3 linked regions of the Sus scrofa genome follow. The protein of the gene in region 2 purifies or fractionates together with the protein of the main gene of each other region. This does not show direct contact. Links are inferred from orthologs where the notes say so. Each region holds a gene or a part of one and is shown on either strand. Other genes may lie near its edges.

Region 1 (3,519 bases), on a different chromosome or scaffold from region 2:
TGAAAAATGGCACCACCATCGTGACCTGGGCCGAAACCTTAGAGTCACCTTGAATTAACTCTCTCTCACCCCTATCAGACAGTCAGTAGATCTTTTTGGCTCTACATCCAAAAAAAAAAAAAATATCCAGAATCCTGTTGCTTCTTACCACTTGACTGTTTCCATCCTGATCCAAGGCAACACAGCTGCTCACCTGGATTCCTGCAGGAACCTTTTAAGCGGTTTGTTTTTGGTTGTCCCTTTGCAGTCTGTTCTCGACCCAGCAAAGTGAGCCTCTTAAAGCCTATGTCAGATGACAGCCCTCCTCTGCTCGTACGCTCTCGTGGCTTCCCCTCTATTAGTAACAGCGACAGTCCTCATGATGCTCGGGGTCCTACAAGATGCTGTCCCCTGTGACTTCTGACATGGTCTCCATCTCCCCCTGCTCATTCCATTCACCTCAGGTGACAGGTATGCTTCTGCCCAGAGGCCTTTGTACCTGCTGTTTCCTCTGCCTGGCATACGTTCTCTTGCTTGCTCCCTTACCTCCGTGAATTCTTCACTATTATGTCACCTATCAGTGAGGCCTAATATGACTCCCCTATGAAAAGCAGCACATTCCCCACCACCCAGAGTCCCATCCCCCACCTGGCCTTATTTTCCTTGTAACACTTATCACCCTTTACTTACTTTTCTTTTTTTTAAAATTGTCTCTCACCTCCAACTAGATTTTAAGATTGTTTATATGTCGTTTAATTTTAACTGAATCCCCAGTGTCTAGAATTATGCCTGATATAGCAGGCATTCTATAAATACATACAATGATTTGGGAAATTTTACCCTGTGATCTACTGGGGATACAGAGGAGGGTAAGATTGGACTGATAATAATTACATTAAACTGTAGATACAAGTATTTTTAACTGAACCAAAATTCAGAAAATACATTAAATCTATCTTTAGCAATACCCTCTAATATTTTTGTATTTCAAAATAATAAAAATGATCAGAATCCTGATCAATGTTGACAACTACACCTTTAATGAATTATGATTACACTTAATAGAAGTCTTAGTCACTGATTTTTCTTTAAAAAATTCTCAGTATCTAAGTAATACTACTAAATTAATCTACCAAAAAAGCTATGAGGATAAAGGATCATGCAAACGGCCACCTATTCCTATTCCCTCTATTCTAAAAGACAGGTAGCAAAGACAATTATGAATAGAAGTTTCCCCTAAAGTCCTTGGTGTGATGAGAATTAAACTGGGATAAGGCAGAAACCAGAGGTCCTGGAAACAAGCTAGAATGCTGCTACATAGCACCTTCCATAAGCTCAGCAGCAGCAGACCCTAATTAAATTTGGGACTTCTTAAATAAATGCAGCTGGTCATTTCAACCAGTAGGAGCCAAAAACAAGATGTGTCTTAGATACTGCCAAGGATGATGTTTTGTCTGTTGGAGGACCGAAAGAGAGAGAGGAAGGAGTTACTCTGGCTTGAGAAGCTGCAGCAGGTAAACGGCATGGAGCTTGCTTCCACCTCACGAAATATAATGAGCAGAGCTTACCTATTACATCTCCTTGTTCATGAATCATCATCCCCAAGTCTTTAAATATTTCATTAATATCCATAATATCAGCCTAAGAGAAAAAAGTGTACTTTGTTATCAGAAATTCAGTCTCCAATCCACAAAAGGGGAACATTTTTTAAAAACCCAAGCCACCACTCATACCCAGGTGAGAATGCATCTAGACTTAATAACACACAGGAAACTATTTTACTATAAGCAATCCCAGGTAAGCAGACTTTGAATAACAGTAACTAGTTCTCTAAAATAAGATTGTGATGTTAAAAATATCAAGCCACATGGGACAGAAGTGAAGGATCTAGCTAATAGAGAAGGGCTGTGGGTTGCTGAATATATGTCAACTCAAAGAGACAGTTAACATAAAGAATTTATCACACAGTGCTTGGCACATGGAAGCCCTCAATAAATGGTAGGCTATTATTAGCCCATTTTCTAGGGAAAAAGTTCTCTAAGAACTATGGCTACTGAACCCTTTAGACCTCTTTGATATCCTGCACATACTAAAAAGAAATAAAATACTTTTAAAGCCCTTGGAAAAAGTCTTATTCATGCAGGTGTGACGTGTATCATATGGCACAGGAGCCATTCAGACCCTTTAAGCAAACATTTATCTCTAGATGATATTTTCTCAACGCTCAGGAGCCTTCAGATGACCTAACAGAATTAAAAAAGAAAAAAAAAAAAAGCTGGAGTGGAAGGAAATACATTATCTCATCCTAGGAGAAATTCTAAAGCATCACTAGTTTTTTAAAAAAAGAAATTATTCTAATTTATATAAAAAGTGCCACCAAAATGATGGATTTCTTTAGTTATCTTTTTTGATCTCACTCCTAGCATCATCTAAGCATTTTCAGGACAAACTCACTAAGAACAGAGCAGCAGTCCAACTTTATAAAGCTTACTTCAAGTTGCCTAATAGAAGACTCTCGCTCATGAATAAGGCGAAGGTCATCCTCTGTAATTTCTTCATCCTGCACTTGCACTTGAGGCTGAGTTTGGCTGTTAAAAAACAAAACAATAAGTAAAAAAGAAGAACCAGTTAAAACAATGGGGCTTTCTTCTTATTTAAGAAATACGTATTGAATTTTTTTCTTCAAAAACATAAAATTAGGAGTTCCTGTCATGGCACAAAAGAAACGAATCCGACTAGGAACCATGAGGTTGTGGATTCGATCCCTGGCCTTGCTCAGTGGGTTAAAGATCCGGCATTGCGGTGAACTGTGGTGTAGGTCGCAGACAAGGCTTGGATCTGGAGTTGCTATGGCTGTGGTGTAGGCCGGCAGCTGTAGCTCCGATTAGACCCCTAGCCTGGGAACCTCCATATGCCGTGGGTGCGGCACTAAAATGCAAAAATAAATAAATAAAAAACAAAATTACTCACTTAAATTCTAAAAATAGGATAAAAATGTTAACCAAATTTTATTCATCTGTCATTTCACTGATATTATTTTTCAGTTATTATTTAACTTTTTGGAAGCTATTATATTTGGCAGGTGAGTATTTCTCCTTGGTTGACTTAATCCTCACACATGGGAATAATCTATATTAAATAATAATTAAGTCAATGTTTATTTGGATAATTATTTTAAAAGTATTGCTACATTGGAAATTTTTATGTTTACATATTTTATAATAAATAATTATTCTGAAAAATTTTCAAATTTATTATTTATTTTTTATTCATAAATAACTTTGGATAGTCATGGCATAATATACTGAAAGCTTTAATTCTGCCCAGGAACCATGATGTAAGAAAATGTATTTCAAAAATTACCCTTTGATCTGCATGTTTTATACTTCTTACCTTTCCCAGGATACAAGATTTCTTTCTTTTGAGGTCTCCTCAGGAAAACCACCCTAAATAATATAATAACAAAATGGATTAAGAAGGTGCACAGGAAAAACACACACCACTCACATTTTATTTTATAATAATCTAAACTGATTTACA
Region 2 (3,519 bases):
GGAGAGTACATCACTGGGGGCAATGACAGTTCAGGAAAATACATTTACCATCCATCACACACTTGCTCACCACTTCAAGTGCCCGCTGTCAGGCTCTCAAGGCATTCTGTTATTCTCCCACTAAGTTTCTTTACATGGAACAGAAACCTACATTTATGGTAATGACAAAATACTATACTGCTATTTAATCTGACAGTAAAAAATAGGAAAGAAAAATGTTAGGGCCAGACTGACCTCAGACCAGCTTAATACCCCTGAAAATAGGGGCAAAAAAGGAATCATTAAGAAACAGTATTCAATGAGCACTGTATTATCTAATGTGACTTACAAAACAAGTAAAATTCAATAATCTTCAATGGAAAAAGCCACAGTATTTGAAAGTTAGGAATGTTTAGATGCTGATTTTTTACCAAAGTGGTACTCCAAGCCTAAGTTGGAACAAATTCCAAACTCACACTTACTTGCATCACCTCAGTTTAATAATCCAATAAATGACAAAAAAGACAAACAAGGAAAACAGCATCATATAACACAGCAGCTTTGTTTGGCTCCCTCTGGATAAAATCTTCAGTTTTCCCATAGTTTTACCTAGAAATCCAGTTGTAGAATCAAACTGTGAATCCTATGAGGAGAAAAGGAAAACAAAATATAGTAGTTAGATTCTGATATTCTACATATGCACATGTAAGGAATTTAATATATTGTTATTAGAACACATTTTTAATGACATTTTCTGTGTTTAATTAATTCAAGAGCCTGTTTATAACTTAGATAATCAGCCTGATTATGCAAAATAGAGTAATTTTCTCAATAAATAAAAAGCTCTTTCATCATCCAGTAAATATTTTTTCCAGCTTCAAAGTAATTCAAAATTCCAAAGTATTTAGATCTTACTCTAATTACGTGGATGAAAAAGCATTAACAATAAAAGCAAGTAGTTCATCTACCCACACGGGTTTTTTCCCACTTATTGGTAGGGCATTGCTCTTCAAGGTCAAATGGCTAGCTGCTTCCAAGTACAGCAATTCATCCAAAATTAAACATGGTTAGCAGCTAAACATACCTTTACTTTTAGATCCTTTTTTCAGGTAGCTGACGTTGAAGGTCAGCAGAGTCTATTAACAGGTAACAGAATATTCTAGAGGTGGTAAAATGTGGCAAAGATGGCAAATATGGATGGGGAAAAACCACCACATTAAAACATAGCTGAAAAAGTCCTTAAGAGGACCAGGTATGGATTAGAAACATTGCCCTTTCAAATAAATCTTAACATCCTGGCATAATGACAACCTTTGTACAGCTCAGGTTCTATGTAGTTCAAGCACCTTAGATCTATGGTTCCTTATTGGGGTTATGTATCAGAAGCATCTGAGATGCTTTTTTCAAAATATAGACAACTAGGTACCTCCCTCTAAAATTCTGAATCAGTGTGTTGGTTTGTTTATTCATCCATTCATTCTTTTTAGGGCCATATCTGTGGCATAGAGAGGTTCCTGCTGGCCCAGAATGAGAACTCCTGAATCAGTATATTTAGAGTGAGAACCACGCATAAATATTTTCAGAAAGTTCCTCAAGTGATCCTAATGCACAACCTTTGCAAGGAGATTGCTTTTAGTGCAACATACATTTTTAAATAGTATAAATTTTAAAAGCATGTGAGGAAACTAGGGAAGGTCCACAGGAGTTTGACATCCAAAATAACATTAGAGAATGGAAAGCGCCTCTAACAAGAAATGGTATATGTTATTGAGCTTGTTTAGACTCCAGATAAAAGGCTTGTTTAGACTCCAGATAATGTTACTATGTTCAAATCTTATTGACTTGTTCCAAGTGATCCTCAGGAAATCAAGCAAAAGAAAGAGGTTTACATTAAGTGAAAGTCATTTTGTTGGTTGGATATAAAGAACTTTTGAGTACTTGGCAGTCTCCATCCACTGAGATCTTTAAGAAAGCTCAAAACAGAGATTTTTCCTGAGTCTAATTCTGTTTCTAAACACAGGATTAAAGAATACATGGGCTTCCACCTCCTCCTCCTGCTTATATGTGTTAGGCAAGATGAAAAGTGTAAAAATATGGCAAAAACAAATCTTAGATCTATTCCAAACCAAAATTGAGACTATCAGATGAAGTTTCCTAATGTTAAAATCATAATCACTTACCATTTCAGCTAATAATTTATTTTGATGTTTAACTTCATGGCCTATTTCAATGGAAAGCTATAAAGAAGAAAGCATATACATTTTTGCTTATATAAATGTTTTAGGTATTATGAAGTAAAAACAATGATGTCATTTGAAGCATAAACATTTTCTCAAATAAAATCATATTCTAAAAATATAAAATATACCTGTCTTCTTTTGATATTTTTCCCACTGAAATTAATGGAAAATAAATTTAGAATTTCTATTCCTTTCCCACTATGGACATTGTCTCCCTGTTCTTCATTTTGATTTCATCTAATGTTTAAGTCTATCTTTTGATTTTGGTACATACTTCTCTCTGGTTCTCTTATCCTTACATTCTTGCTCTCTTTATATTATTAATACAACAGCACTTATTTGCATATTTATTTGTTTACATTTTAAAAATGCATACAAGTTCCCATATTATCAATTCAAATCCAGATATAAGTAATATTTTCCTAAAGAAATGTGACAATATTTTGAATATATATCTAAATTAATTATTAGATTCTAAAGGTATTTTCTTTAAAGTATGATAAAAAATTGGAAAAAAATTTTACAAGCTGGTGTTATCCATATCCAGAAGCTATGCAGAACAGAGGTTGAATCTAAATGAAATAAGTGGCTACAACTACTAACCAAACCAAACACTTTATATGACAAATTCATCAAAGGCTTCACTTCTAAGATATCTGAATAAATATACTATTACTAAATCTTGGAAACTACTGAAAATTTTGGCAAACCATTGCAAATATTGTCAACTTATTTTGTGTGGAAAGCATATGGGGTAATATTTACCCAAAACCACTGTAGAATTCTATATATCAGAATATGAGCTTTTTCTTCAAATTCAGCAATTCAGGGAAAATGAAGCATCTATAAAGCTAGACAGTCCAAATCACTTAATTCAGCTGTCATTTGTGCCAAAGAAAGAAAATTTCAGGGAAAACAAAAGCTTTCTTCTAACAAGGAACCAAAATTATCAATGTTAATTTTTTAAAAAATCATTTAATTTCCTCTAAGTAGTATATTTTCTAAATTATTAACATTGTTTAGTTCATAGATTAACTCCTTTTGATTTAATATGACCACGAAAACAATACTCATGTCAGAATATGAGTCTCCAGGCTGAACACAATTCTATCTTCCAAAGACTATGAAATACCAATTAAGTTTTGGCAACATAATCTTCCAGTGAATGCTCTATAGTATATAGCATCTTTATTTTAATGCAGAATCAATCATATACACTGTTAAAACTAGCTTTTTGCAATTCCTTTAATACATATTAACTCAATATGACTATAAGGAATTATGTTAAGTGCTATGTAGA
Region 3 (3,519 bases), on a different chromosome or scaffold from region 2:
CAGATGAGACAGGTCCAAATACTTCTGGAGATGGTCCTGGAAGTTGCCGTCAATCAGGGACCCAGGCTGGGATCCTGTTACGGGCCTCTGAAGGGAAGTTTCCATGCTAACTAAGTGCTGCTACACCTGGAAACCCCCTGCGGGAGGCAGCTGTGTGCACAGAGTGAGTGAGCCTGGCCCGTCAGGGCCATCAGCCCAACCCTTTTAGTTATGATGCTGGGCAGTGGGCTCACTCCACTTGCTGCCAAGGCCCTTCGACGCTCCCACCCCGAAATGACGACATGGCTAGTGAGGCTGACAGTCTTGTTGTAATTGGGAGGAAACGGGCCGCAGCACATTTGGCAGATTGAGAGTCATCTGCAGCCAGAGTTGGGGTTGTGTAGGCAGCCAAAGGGCTCAGGGCCCCTTGCCTCACATGGTGAAGAGAGGAAGAGGTAAATTTTAACCCAGATGGGAAAGTTGGTCCCTGGGGAAGTTTCACTTCCTCTCCTCACTCTCAGGAAGGTGGGGAAGGGCATCATCTCCCCTTGCTGCCAGAGTTGAGAAAGGCTGGGGAGGGTTTATAAAAATCTCCAGTGGAGACAACCTCCCCGAAGAGCCCTCCAGTTGGCCTCTGCTCCCTTCCAGCCACTTCACAGCAGAGTCCAAATCCAGAACCGTGTGTTTCATGGGCCTGAGGATGGTGAGGGGAGGACAGGGTGGCCAGAGGCAAGGAGTGGGAGATCAGGGGCAGTGGCCGTTCTTAGCAGTTCCAGGGAAACAGGGCCTTTCTCCCAAGCACCCTGCACAGGCTCAGTGGCAGCTCTGGCCACCTGCCCTCCCAGGAGGGTTCCAAACCCCCACGGAATGCCTCAGCGTTGGAGAGGGTTCAGGCAAGGAAGACCACGAAGATGATGAAGAAGACAATGAGGATGAGGAAGATTTTGACCATAAGCCACCGGTTGGACGTGACCGACTGGAAGTACTTGAGGATCTCCGAGTGGGCGGCCTCAACGTCCAGCTGGGCTCCTAGCACGTTCTCGTCGATCCTGGAGAGAGGGCCGAGAGGAGGGGAAAAAGAGTGACACTTGATTAAAAGGAATGCTGTTGAAATGTATTTTTGTGTGTGTGTACATGTATTTGTAGATGGGAGAGCTCTGGGAGCTCCCATTGTGGCACACAGTAGGTTAAGAATCCGACTGCATCGGCTCGGGTCACTGCAAAAAACACGGGTCTGATCCCCAGCCCAACGCAGTGGGTTAGGTTAGAGGATCCGGCATTGCCACAGCTGAGGCTTGAATTCAACCCCTGGCCCAGGAACTTCCATATGCTGTGGGTGCAGCCGTTTAAAAAAGAAAAGAGGGGAGTTCCCATTGTGGCTCAGCGGTTAATGAACCCGACTAACATCCATGAGGATGCCAGTTTGATCCCTGGCCTCGCTCAGTGAGTGAGTTAAGGATCTTTTGTTGTCGTGAGCTGTGGTATAAGTCGCAGACGTGGCTAGGATCCTGTGTTGCTGTGGCTGTGGTGTAAGCCGGCACCGACAGCTCCTATTTGACCCCTAGCCTGGGAATCTCCATATGCCGTGGATGCAGCCCTAAAAAGACAAAAGACCAAAACAAAACAAAAAAATATATCTATATTACCCTTCCAGAAAATGCTCTGGAAGGGTAATATAAACAAATCTTGGCTCTGGTTTGAAAATCAGCTCTGTAGCATATGACCCTAAGCCAGTCACTTAACCCCAAGTCTCATTTTCCTCAACTGCAAAGGAGAAAATTCAGATAACACAAACCACACCTCTCTAGCTGCTGTCAGTCTTAAATGAGTAGAGTGCCTAACTCATACTAAAAGGACCCAAAATGTTAGTCATTATAATTTTTTGCACATCAGTATTTATGGATTTTTCTCTGATAAGCAGTATTGCCTTTGTAATAACGGGGGAAAGGTCACAGGCCATTATGGTCAGGAAACCCTGGTTCTGAGTGAGAAAGGAAGAAAAACTTGATGATACGGACAGAAAGGAGATAAAGAAAAGCCCCAGGGGAGTTCCTGCTGTGGCTTAGCAAGTTAACTCAACATAGTGTCTATGAGGAGGCAGATTCGATCCCTGGCCTTGTCAGTGGGCTAAGGATCCCGTGTAGGTCTCAGATGTGGCTCAGATCTGGCATTACTGTGGCTGTGGTGTAAGCCAGCAGCTGTAGCTTCAATTCAACCCCTAGCCCAGGAACTTCCATATGCTGCAGGTGCAGCCATAAAAAGAAAAAAAGAAAAGCCCAAGGGAGTTCCCTGGTAGTCTACCGGTTAAGAACTTGGCATTGTAACTGCTGTGGCTTGAGTTCGATTCCTAGCACGGGAACTTCTGCGTGCCACAGGCATGGCCAAAAAAGAAAGGAAAAGAAAAGAAAAGCCCGATATTAGAACATGTCTCTCAGGATATAGAGAAGTCCTCAGAAGAATGAATGGCAATCTCTTGAGAGGCTGCTGAGGAAAATAAAACATTTCCCAGCTAACGTGCATGTGCAATCCTGAAAACGAAATATGAACCCTGGTCTTTGCAAAGGGAGTCGCAGGGAGCAGAAACCATCGTGCGCTGTGAGGACAGAAAAGTTGGTGAAGGCTGGGAATCAAGTAGGCAAGTGAGAGGAAAGGCTGGGCTGGTGACTGCAAGTCCAAGGTCCTGGGAAGGTGGTCACGAGACTATCAGGTAATCTCTGGCCAAACACTGGAGCATGAATTGTATGATTCCCTGTTTATGTCAGAGAAGCTAACAAACGTATCAGGTTTCCCAGCTTTGGGCTATAATTACATTTCTCAGTGTGGATGCATTTGTCATCCCATAGCCAATAAAGCTCATTCACACTGACAATCATAATGGCTCTGCTTAACAAAAATGGAAAAGCAATCAAATCAATCTGGCATATGGAAGATTTTTATTTTATTTTATTTTTTTGGCCATGCCTAAAGCATGTGAAAATTCCCAGGCCAGGGACTGAACCTGAACCACAGCAGTGACACAAGTGGTTGCAGTTCCAAGGGAACTCCTAAAACATTTCAAATGGGAGACCGTGAATGAAAACTAATACAAGGGAAATCTAGGGGTGATAAAATTAGGCATCAGTGGGATATTCAGAGGAATCAGTAGGGGAGTTAAAAGTCAGAAAGGAATGGGGAGAAAATAATGACTTGGGAGGGAAAAGACTGAGGAAAACAGAGAGGAGAACAGTTCGCAACGTTTTACAGAAAGAAAACCATAGAGGGAAGTAATTAAGCAATAAGAAGCTGGAGTCTTGCTGAACACAAAGGATGGATGATGAAACTGCTATCAGAGGCATGGACAGCCAGAGGACGAGAAGGTAAGTATAAGGTGGGAATGACAAAAAAGGAGTTTGATGGAAGAAGATAGAGAACTCAAGAACTAGAAGGACTATTTGACCATCTGACCGTGCCTAGGAGATCTTGGATTTTAGTTCTTTTGGCTTCAGTTTCCCCAAAACGTCATAATTACTGAGAGTAACTGGATCATGTTCAGTGGATACA

Evidence for each region. Proteins that work in one complex are often made in the same cells at the same time.
Region 1: the proteins of BET1 (region 2) and STX7 purify together in Homo sapiens (affinity purification with mass spectrometry; 3 studies listed by BioGRID and IntAct, with this or other methods). This does not show direct contact. The link is inferred for Sus scrofa from reciprocal best matches to the Homo sapiens genes BET1 and STX7.
Region 3: the proteins of BET1 (region 2) and STX5 purify together in Homo sapiens (affinity purification with mass spectrometry; 3 studies listed by BioGRID and IntAct, with this or other methods). This does not show direct contact. The link is inferred for Sus scrofa from reciprocal best matches to the Homo sapiens genes BET1 and STX5.

Annotation. Positions count from the first base shown.
Region 1 is NC_010443.5:31,226,400-31,229,918, reverse strand, and holds part of STX7 (syntaxin-7), read right to left. Parts: intron 3,426-3,519; coding exon 3,373-3,425; intron 2,568-3,372; coding exon 2,471-2,567; intron 1,621-2,470; coding exon 1,548-1,620; intron 1-1,547. UniProt on the Homo sapiens protein: May be involved in protein trafficking from the plasma membrane to the early endosome (EE) as well as in homotypic fusion of endocytic organelles. Mediates the endocytic trafficking from early endosomes to late endosomes and lysosomes.
Region 2 is NC_010451.4:73,782,638-73,786,156, forward strand, and holds part of BET1 (BET1 homolog), read right to left. Parts: intron 2,217-3,519; coding exon 2,160-2,216; intron 623-2,159; coding exon 467-622; 3' UTR 1-466. UniProt on the Homo sapiens protein: Required for vesicular transport from the ER to the Golgi complex. Functions as a SNARE involved in the docking process of ER-derived vesicles with the cis-Golgi membrane.
Region 3 is NC_010444.4:8,965,281-8,968,799, reverse strand, and holds the end of STX5 (syntaxin-5), read right to left. Parts: intron 1,029-3,519; coding exon 869-1,028; 3' UTR 290-868; downstream 1-289. UniProt on the Homo sapiens protein: Mediates endoplasmic reticulum to Golgi transport.